Canis lupus familiaris: one gene and its partners. The protein of the gene in region 1 interacts with the protein of each later gene in a biochemical or structural test. Links are inferred from orthologs where the notes say so. Each region holds a gene or a part of one and is shown in the gene's direction. Other genes may lie near its edges.

Evidence for each region.
Region 2: of the proteins of PRKN (region 1) and SEPTIN5, one has a biochemical effect on the other in vitro, tested with the Homo sapiens proteins (2 studies listed by BioGRID). The link is inferred for Canis lupus familiaris from reciprocal best matches to the Homo sapiens genes PRKN and SEPTIN5.
Region 3: of the proteins of PRKN (region 1) and SNCAIP, one has a biochemical effect on the other in vitro, tested with the Homo sapiens proteins (3 studies listed by BioGRID). The link is inferred for Canis lupus familiaris from reciprocal best matches to the Homo sapiens genes PRKN and SNCAIP.

Annotation. Positions count from the first base shown.
Region 1 is NC_049222.1:51,485,982-51,489,630, reverse strand, and holds part of PRKN (E3 ubiquitin-protein ligase parkin), read left to right. Parts: intron 1-287; coding exon 288-451; intron 452-3,649. UniProt on the Homo sapiens protein: Functions within a multiprotein E3 ubiquitin ligase complex, catalyzing the covalent attachment of ubiquitin moieties onto substrate proteins. Substrates include SYT11 and VDAC1.
Region 2 is NC_049247.1:29,732,588-29,736,336, reverse strand, and holds the start of SEPTIN5 (septin-5), read left to right. Parts: upstream 1-1,227; 5' UTR 1,228-1,300; coding exon 1,301-1,381; intron 1,382-2,005; coding exon 2,006-2,102; intron 2,103-2,209; coding exon 2,210-2,296; intron 2,297-2,569; coding exon 2,570-2,693; intron 2,694-2,779; coding exon 2,780-2,914; intron 2,915-3,103; coding exon 3,104-3,221; intron 3,222-3,357; coding exon 3,358-3,459; intron 3,460-3,749. UniProt on the Homo sapiens protein: Filament-forming cytoskeletal GTPase. May play a role in cytokinesis. May play a role in platelet secretion.
Region 3 is NC_049232.1:12,258,715-12,261,299, forward strand, and holds the end of SNCAIP (synphilin-1), read left to right. Parts: intron 1-138; coding exon 139-209; intron 210-1,228; exon of another isoform or gene 1,229-1,684; intron 1,685-1,829; exon of another isoform or gene 1,830-1,861; coding exon 1,862-1,970; 3' UTR 1,971-1,985; downstream 1,986-2,585. UniProt on the Homo sapiens protein: Isoform 2 inhibits the ubiquitin ligase activity of SIAH1 and inhibits proteasomal degradation of target proteins. Isoform 2 inhibits autoubiquitination and proteasomal degradation of SIAH1, and thereby increases cellular levels of SIAH.

The DNA of each region.
Region 1 (3,649 bases):
CTAGCAAGTGTTTTGTGTGGGCTCTTTGTTTCCCAGGACTGGCATCAAAGGGAGCAAGCGATTGCATGGGAAGGTCACTGACTGATGTATGAAAGGGAAATCCCATGGGGAACCTGTTTTTCTTCAAATGTTGCTCCATTGCATGAAGTATATTATAAGTAAAAGGAAATGTACCCTGTTCATTGAAGGGCAGGTGAGAGGTAACTTGGTACAGAAATGTTGCTGTTGCCACGTCTGATCTTTGAGTAATGCTCACTTCCCCCCCTCTCTCCTAATCTCTTGGTCAGTGTTCGTCAGGTTCAACTCCAGCCATGGTTTCCCAGTGGAGGTCGATTCTGAAACCAGCATCTTCCAGCTCAAGGAGGTGGTTGCTAAGCGACAGGGGGCCCCGGTTGACCAGTTGCGTGTGATTTTCGCTGGGAAGGAGCTTAGGAATGACTTGACAGTGCAGGTGAGTGTCCCTCGGTGGATGGTTCCTGGGATGCAGCCAGCACCAGTGCTTATGCCTCTTCCTCTGCCAAGCTGACATTCATGCCTGAGATCTAATAGAATAAATAGTGCCTGGGGATTCCTTGAACTTTACTCCACACCGCTTCATTAATTCTGACCTTCTTAATTATGCATTAAAACAGCAAGCAGGAAGGATTGGAAGAACAACTGTGGGTTAGAGAGGGAGAGAGAGAGAACACACGGGCTGGGCTTGGTGAATAAATGTTTACTGACTACAGGAGCAGCAAGGCGCAATTTCTGTGTCTGTTCAATTTCTACCTTACTTATTCCATTTGAATCTTAATGAAGAAGGATTCGAATAAATTGTTCCAAATCAGACTGCTCAGTCACTGCACTGCGAGGAATCTGTAACCCAATTGTGACCCCTGGAGGATAATCGGAAGGCTGCGGCTGCAGCTCGCTCCAGGAGGTCCGGGGCTCAGGGCCCTTTTAGGACAGGCATTGAGAGATTCCCCACCCCATCAAAACCCCATCAAAATCACAGCTTCCATGCTAGCGGCCAACGGAGACAGGAACAGAGCAAAAGTCCCTCTTTGTGCGTATTTTCTCTGAGCTGCCCTAAAACCATCCCTAGAATAGACTACTGAAATGTCAGAAAGCAAGCAGTGCCTGTCCTCTCCTGACACCATTCTTGCTGCTTCTGGTACCTATGAAGCCTACTGTCCTCTCACCTGGGTGTTTAATTCCCAAGGGTGATTTCTGTAGCAAGAGGGGGAGAGCAGGTGAACTGATGAGCAGCGCCCTCCCCTAGACGTGGAGCACTGTTATCTGATGGGGATACCAGCAGATACCGTTTCACTGGATTGAAGTCATGCTTTGCAAAAGCATGAAAGAGCAGATGGCTTCTGTGGATGGTCAGGGGATGCTGAAGGACCCATCAGACACAGCTTTCCCCTTTCTCAACCAGCACAGATTAATTGCACCTATGTTTCTTGGGGGCCCACTGCTGTGCGCAGGAGGGCTGCTGGGTCTGGCTACCTGGTGCCTCTCCTGTATAGACATCCCATCATTGTGTCTTCTCCTGATGATGCTTACAGCTTCTTGGTGAAATGCTTTCAGAATGTGCGCCTACAAAAAGAAGCCATAGAAATGCAAATCGAGCTCTGGCCCCAGTGGTCTTTGCTGATGGCTGGAGGCACATGTTACTGTGCACAAACTGCTGTGCTTTGCTTTTAGGCAGTTTGTTTTTTTAAGGGAAGTGCCTCTGCTAAAAAAAGCGTTTCGCTTTTTATTTTTTTATTCCAGTCAACTAAAAAGCTTTTTACTGTACCTGCCAACCTCTAAATCCAAGAATGTTCCCTTCACAAATAAATGATTTTAAAACGGCTCCTTGAACCAAAATATTTTATATTACCAGGAGTTTTGAAGTTTCAGGTTCTAAAACTCTTCACCTCTACCATTAAGCTGATAGGTTAGACTAATTGCTACAGATGATTCATTTTACCAACATATACATGAAGCAGAGAGCAAGGTTCTTATCTCTCAGAGTGGAAGAATGAATCTCTCTCAGGACAAAGGAGAGTGAATAAAGCAGTAAGAGTGAGAGGGGTCCCGACAGGGTGGCCACTGAGGGCTTTTAGGGTTGGTCTTTTATTGAAAGTAGCCAGGAAACTTAAATCTTTTTAACACCTCTATTGATAACACCATCAAGTAAGGACTAGTGATAACACCTTTAGGATCTGGTAATTCTTTGTTGGTCACAAGTAGCTGTTATAACAAGACCCTACCTCTGACACCTAGGGTAGAGTGGTCTGGTTTGTTCCCTCATCTCTGGTTTTCTCATACCTCCTCATTTGGGGGATTTTTGTGAGCCGGATAACATAGCCCCCCATCTCTCATACCTAGCCCTGCCTAACCCTTACTCATATGTATAAGATATATATTGATTCAGATTCTTTTCATTTTGACAAATCCTTCCAATGTTCTGGGCTTCCTGGGGGCTCATAAAGAAAGGCAAACTCATTTCCTGCTTTTGTGGTGACTAGTTAGGGGCCCTAAAAGCAACAGAAGTATTAGGTTAAACCATATGGCATAAAACTATTAGCAGTTTCATGTGGTTCAACATAAAAATGCCAAACAGGAGAACCATAATATAGAAGCTGAAACTAAGTATTACAAGATTTTAACGGTAGAGAAAACACATCTTTCTGAGTGTAAGTCACCAAGACTTCATGGATGAATTGAAACTTGAGTAAGATCCCAGGGTTAGAGAATGAGCATGGAGTGTACTTGCAGAACAGTATGAGTCCCTGTTCTTCTAGAAGCTAGAAGAGATGTTGAAGACTGGGCAGGAAGGGAGTTTAGGGCTGTATTTTTACAGAGGTTTCATGCATTAAGAGCTAGAGCAAAAAGGGTGCCATGCAGAGAAATGGGAGTCTGGAGATCCAGTCTGGTTGTAGGAAGAATGAGGAACCTTAACCTGCATGAAAAGTGGATGCCAAAGGAAATATATGTGGAGTTGTCTAGCAGGCGTTTGAGAACCTAGCTGTGTTGCTTAGGAGCTCACTTTATATTTGAGGACTAGCTACATAGAGGTAAATATTACAGCCATTGGATTAGTTGTGATTGCCAAAGGGACAGAGGACAGAAGCTTGAGTAGGTAGGTCTCTTAGCGAGGGGAGAAGCCAGTAAAGGAGGCATTATCCATCCAACTGATGATTTTGAGGATATTTTAGAAAAGTAAATTACTGGTAAAGAAGTACATGTGCTGTGAAAAGATGGAGTTGATAAGAAGGAAAGAACCTTTGGACTTGATGGCTATAGTGGTGACTCTAGTCCAGGGTTGTGGTTGGTCAAAGCCAGGCTATTGGGTTCATCATGAGCTGGGACTATCATGAGGGGGCTCAGCTTGTCAGTGAGAGGAAGGAGAGGAGGAGGGGAGTTCCTGGAGGAGCCAAGGGTCCTGCATTTTGTTCCACATGGGCTAACCCTTGACGATGTGGATGGCTGACTTTTATATGGCTGTAAGCAGTGAAATATGATTTTGTATTCTGATTATTTTTCACTTAATGTTGTATCATAAGCTTTTCCATGTTATGTAATCTTCATTTCTAAGTGCATGGATTATACTCTATGGGGTGTTTATATCATAACTCTTAAGTCTTTAGGGACTACTTGTTTTTAATACTACAAATTAAGG
Region 2 (3,749 bases), on another chromosome or scaffold:
GGCCGCCTCTCCCCACTGACACACAGTCCAAGGAGTATGTGTCTTCGTGCGGCATCTCCTTTCCAAGCCTCCCCCCTGCCCAGCTGGTACTGGCTGGTTCAGATTCTGGTGGAGGCCTGGAGGGAGGGTGAGGAAGGGTGTGGTGGCTCAGGAGGTGCCTGTGGGCCCCCGGGGTGGTCACAGGAGGCCAGGGCTACCCGGGCTGGAGCGCTCCAGCCAGTCCTGAGGGTCAGAGCGGCGGGGAAGCTGAGGGAGCCGAATCCGGGGAGGGGGTAAGTTCACTCCACAGGCCTCCCCAGCTACGTCTGCTCGGCGCTGGCGCGGAGTGGTCTGGGCGCAGCTGGGGCCAGGGCTGGCTGCAGCTTCGGGTCTCCAGAGGTAGGGCGGGGAGGCGCCTAGTGCTCTAAGCCACCCTCCCTCCCCCGCTTTCAGCGTCCGCCACCCCCGGGGGCAGGGGCGGTGGGTCCAGGCTGGGGAGGCGGGCTTTGCCCCCACCCAGTTCCCTCACGTCGGGCAGGAGGCCGTGCCGGTGAAGAACACCCCTGCCCCCCCGGGCACCCCCTGCACACGTCCCGGGGGGGGGGCAGCACGGGGGCGTGGCCGTGGGTAGCTGGGGCGCCGCCGGGAGGTTCCCGGGCCACCCGCGAGGACAGGACGGGTGAGCGGGCCGGTTCCCGGGGCGTGCGCCTGGGTCCCGGGAGCGTTCCCCCGGCGCCCTCTGGCGGGCGGAAGCCGCGCGGCGGCCACAACCGCGTCCCCCGGGCCCGGCCCCCGCCCCCTGCCCCCTGCCCCCGCCCCCCCCCGCGGCCGGGCCCACGCGGGTGGTCGCGAGGCCCGGCCCGAGGCGGCGGGTCCCCGGCGAGGCTCCGCCCCCGCGCCCTGCGCCGCCCTGCGCGGCCCTGCCCTCCGCGGCAGCTTTCCGGTGGCTCCGCCCGCCCGCGGCCCAATTTCCAGGCAACAGTTTCCCGGCGACCGCGCGGTCCCGTCCCCCCCGCGCCGGCGCCCGCGAGGCCCCGCCTCCGGTTCGGGTGCGGGAGCGGGCGCGGGCGCGGGCGCGGGGCCTGCGGTGGCTGCGGCGCGGCGGGCGGCTGGGGCGCGGGCCCGAGGGCCCAGGCATGGCACGCACGGCCTCGGGGGGCGGCGGCACCCCGGGCGGGCGACGTCCCTTCCCTGGGCCTCGGCTCCCGCGCGCGTAGCCGGCCCGACAGCGGGGCCTCGAGGCAGCACCGCGCGGGCCCCCTGACGCCCCGCCCCGCGGGCCCGACCGCGTCCGGGTGCGGGTGCGGGTGCGAGCGCCGCGATGGACTCGCTGGCAGCGCCCCAGGACCGCCTGGTGGAGCAGCTGCTGTCGCCGCGGACCCAGGCCCAGAGGCGACTCAAGGTGTGTGCGCGCGAAGTGGGTCAGGGTGCGTGCGCCCGCGGGCCGGTCCCCAGGGCTCTGGGCCGGGCAGGGGCCGGCGGGGCCGCGGGTGGGCAGTGCGACCCGCGGGCGGGGGAGGCTCCGCGCCGCTGTCTATAAATAGCCGCGGCTCCGCCTCGGTGGCAGCAGCCAGCCACCCCCGCGGCTGGATCCCGGCCAGATGGGCCTCCCACCCCCTGGTACACTCAGGAGGGGTGAGTATTGAGGTCAGGGGCCTCTCCGGCTGGGGGGCCTTGGGTATGGCTCAGGGTCGTGGTCCTGGCGCACTCTTCCCCCCGCTGAGGGAGGACACAGCCTGTGCCTGCGGCAGCCAGACATCCTAAACTCTACACACCTTGTCAGGTCCCTGCAAAGCCCCTCGCGGAGGCTGGGGCAAGGAGGCCTGCCGCCCCCCTCGCCAGCCTTTCCAGCACCAGGCCTTTGCCCACAGGCCCTCATCCCCTTTCTGCCATTGAAACTCCCCCAACCCCCCAGGGGACTCTACCCTCTGCCGCCTCCGTGTCTGAGCCAGGTAGGGAGGGAACAGGGCATCAGACTGCCCCAGGAACCCCAGCATGCCCCTGACTTGCCCGCCCCGGCCCCCAGGATATCGACAAGCAGTACGTGGGCTTCGCCACACTGCCCAATCAGGTGCACCGGAAATCTGTGAAGAAGGGCTTCGATTTCACGCTCATGGTGGCCGGTGAGTGGGCTGGACTCCCAGGTGGGGTGGCTTGGAACGTTAGCCAGCTAGGCTCTGTCATAGGGACCTCAGACTTAACCTGACTCTTTCCCTATACCTGCCGGCAGGTGAGTCAGGCCTGGGGAAGTCCACACTGGTCCACAGCCTCTTCCTGACCGACTTGTACAAGGACCGGAAGCTGCTCAGTGCTGAGGGTGAGTGGGCCCCATGGAGCCCTGGCATTGGTTCCCCATCCCCTGCTGTGTGACCCCTCACAGGGTTCCCTTCCAGGTCCACGCCCTGCCCCCGTCTTCCCACAGCATGGGTCTCCTGTTCAGGGTCCAGGAGGAGTGGCCCAAACGCCACCATCAGGCCACGTGGCCAGGGCCAAGACACTAGAACGAATGAGAACGTGGGTCCTGGCTGCCCAGTGGGGTTGGGGCCGAGAGTTGGAGTTACCCCAGCAAACAATGCCCCAACCCCCACAGAGCGCATCAGCCAGACCGTAGAGATCCTGAAGCACACGGTGGACATTGAAGAGAAGGGAGTCAAGCTGAAGCTCACGATTGTGGACACTCCAGGCTTCGGGGACGCTGTCAACAACTCCGAGTGGTGAGGAAAGCCCAGCTGGGGGACAGTGTCTGCCTAGGCTGACCCACCTCCCTTCTGGCCTCATGGGCCCTCCTGCCTCCCTACAGCTGGAAGCCCATCACCGACTATGTGGACCAGCAGTTTGAGCAGTATTTCCGAGACGAGAGCGGCCTCAACCGCAAGAATATCCAAGACAACCGTGTGCACTGCTGCCTGTATTTCATCTCCCCTTTTGGGCATGGGTGCGTAAATGTCCTGGGAACGGGCTCGGGGGGCTGCCGGGCTCCACAGATCCCCACGGCTGTCCCGGCCACCGCCTGTCCACTGTCGGTGCACTCACAACCACGAACCCCGCCCAGCCCAGCCCAGCCTCTCCCCAGGACCCTGCCACCCCCACCATGCCCCTCTCTACCCCTGGGTGCTCTCTGTAGGCTGCGGCCCGTGGATGTGGGTTTCATGAAGGCTCTGCACGAGAAGGTGAACATTGTACCCCTCATCGCCAAAGCTGACTGTCTTGTCCCTGGCGAGATCCGGAAGCTGAAGGAGCGGGTGAGCCTGCCATGGCAGCGGGGCCTGGGCTAGGTCTCTGGGACAGAGAACACTGGGTGTGCCGATCCTGGGTGCCAGTGCCCCTGGCCCTGGGTTCCTGGCTAGCCTCAAATCTGACCGCCTTGCCCTGCCCCAGATCCGGGAGGAGATTGACAAGTTTGGTATCCACGTGTACCAGTTCCCCGAATGTGACTCTGACGAGGATGAGGACTTTAAGCAGCAAGATCGGGAACTGAAGGTGAGCAGCCTGGTGTGGCAGAGGAGGGGACTGGAGGTCAGTTTACACGGGCAGGCCAGGCATCCCCGTCCAGCCCAGTGGGGACAGGAGTTTTTTGTCTGGGCACTAGGGCCTCTTCACCCAGAGCTTGGGGTAGGGGGCACAGTCACCCATGTCCCCACTGGCTTGTGCAGTCTGGGCCCACGTGGTTCATGTATCACGGAGCACTCACCGGGACCCAAAGGCATGGTGCTGACCCGGCCTCCACCCAGACCCTCCTTCTCAGTCTTCTTCCAAGGGGTCACCAGCAG
Region 3 (2,585 bases), on another chromosome or scaffold:
TCCCTGTGCCTCTTAAACTATGTGTGAAGCTTCTGTCTGCTAATCTGCTTCCTTGCGTGCCTCCTGTTGACTGAGTCGTGTGCATGCGCCGAGCTTTTGTTGCATGTTTTCAGATGATGTTTAATTGCACCTCTCTAGGAGATGTACGGCAGCTGCGTCACCCTCTCTTCTAACCTGCTGACCGAAGAGCCTCTGCGTAACCATGCACGGTACGTGGTGCTAGCGGGTGCCTCGGCAGCGGCATGCCTGTGCTTCCAGTAGCCTCACCTTTTTAAATCACAGTACCAGAGCAGCCTTGGCAGGAGCTGATACCAAGAAAGAAGAAAATGCCCCTTTCCCCACCACCACCCCCCCCCCCCCAGTAGAAGCAGCCAGTCTTATAATGGGGCCTTAGAAAGGGACCAAGCGCCCGATTGGCGGGGCTTTATTCCAGCAGCAGAGGAGTCTACTCAGCTTACAAACAGGCTGCGTCTCCGGGTTGACTTTGGCTTTCAGGCTTTGTTTTAATGGAGTCAAGTACCAAGTAAGTATAGACATTAAATTTCCTGTCCCGGGCAGACGGAGTCGATCTCTGATCAGAATCGGAGCTGTGAAGCAGAGTTGAGGTTTTCTTTCGTTGCTGATCCCAGACTGAAAGCTCCTTTCATCACCGAGCGCAGGAGAAGCAGGGCCCTGCCATCCTGAAGTTGCTCTAGCTGAACGCAGGCACCCCCATGCCCCGCGGCGCACCCGGCCCGGGGCCGCCCCAGACAGAATGGTTATGCTTCAAAATGCATGGGCTGTGCACAGGAAAGGATCATCTTCAAAGGTCCCCAGTGGCCCAGGCGCCTCCCTGGGCAAAGTCCTTCTGCTTTCTTTCCTCCCCTGCCCCCCAGGGAAATGTGAATGGCTCGCCCCCAACACCCCCAGAAGCAGGAAAAGGAAGGAGTGGAGGGCGAGTTCCCGCTCTCAATGCTCCAAGACTGGCATCTTGCTGAAGAAACCCCCCAGAATACATTTTAAGGGAGACTGTCTCTTTTAAGTCATTCGAGCTTGCTTTATTTTTTTTTTAAGATTTTATTTATTTATTCATGAGAGACACACAGAGAGAGAGAGAGAGAGAGAGAGAGAGAGGCAGAGACACAGGCAGAAGGAAAAGCAGGCTCCATTCAGGGAGCCCGATGTGGGCCTCGATCCTGGGACTCCAGGGCCGGAGGCAGATGCACTGAGCCACCCAGGTGTCCCTCAGGCTTGCTTTAATATAAGTATTTAAATTAAAAGAAAAATATAGCACACCTTGCGGCACCCTCCCCCAAATCCTCTGCAGTGTTTTTGCAAATGTGTATATGTTTGTCTGTAATGATAAACACACCCCAACGGGGGAGGGGGGTAGTGTTGTGAGCATCAACTTCAGTCCAGAATACTAAGGAGCAAGAAACGTCACTCTTCCCCCCTCCCCCCATCCCTGTAAGTCAAATTTAATCTGCTCCAGCTCTCTGGTCAGCCTAGAGGAAAGCATATCTCAGTCACTTCAGGGAGTACCCCGGAGGTCTCATTAATTCAGTACATCCAAGGAAGCACCTTGGAACTTAGGTATTTACTGGTCACCAGCATTCAGCTTGGGTCAGGCTTGCATGGTGCTGGAGTCTGGGCTACTTCTGGCCACCCCAGGGCAGGGAATCTTGGCCAGTTCTGGGTCCAAGGCCTGAGGTAGGAAGGAAATAGAAAAAAAAAAAAAAATGTTCTTTCCCGTCCCAGATATGGGTACAGGTCCTCCCTCTCTTTCTCTCAACCTCCCCAGCCCCCTACCCTTCTCAGTCTCAGGTGAGCTTGGGTGTGTCCTCTGGTACCTGGAAAATTCTGGGTTTTTGTCCTTAAACAGAAGTCACCAACAGTACCTTCAGGAAAGACAGACCAAAGACTTGGCAGACTCTTGGGAGGGAGAAGAACGCCTCTCATCTCTCGAAGGTTCTCGCGGTACCTGGAAGTAAGACAGCAAGCATCACAGTAGATTGTCCTGCCAGAAATACTTCATCCTGTCTTTTCACAAGCAAAAGAACAAAGCTGAACAGTCCTCTATAAAATAATTATAAAAGAGACCAATTGAGGCTTTAGGGCTACTGAGCTACCCAACCCTCGGTTAATACTTTCTACTCAGTTTAGGGAGCAGTCCTTCGGAAGGCTAAGCTTTGAACCTCAGAGTCACTGGCTTTATGGATTAACAGAGTTTGATTTCAGCGGTAAACAGAAACCCGAAATTAAAAATACTCAGTGTATTTAAATAAGCAATCCTGAACCCTTCCCCTCCCTACCTTATAATTAACCCCTGCTTGATCATGGTTTCAGCTTAACATGTGTTCCAGAGAAAGTGAAGAGTCATCGTTTGCTCACGCTAGAGAGGGGAGGTTTCTCAGATTCACTCACAATTACACAGAGGCAGAGAGAACTGGCCCACGTTCACTCCTTAGATAAGATAAGGAGGGATGGCTGTCATGGAAATGAAGCTCCCTCGGAAAAATCAACACTAGCTGGAGATCATGGGTGTGAAAAACATCTCATTGACTCTAGTGCTTGCTTCCTTTTGCCTAGAGGACCCAGAGAAGGAA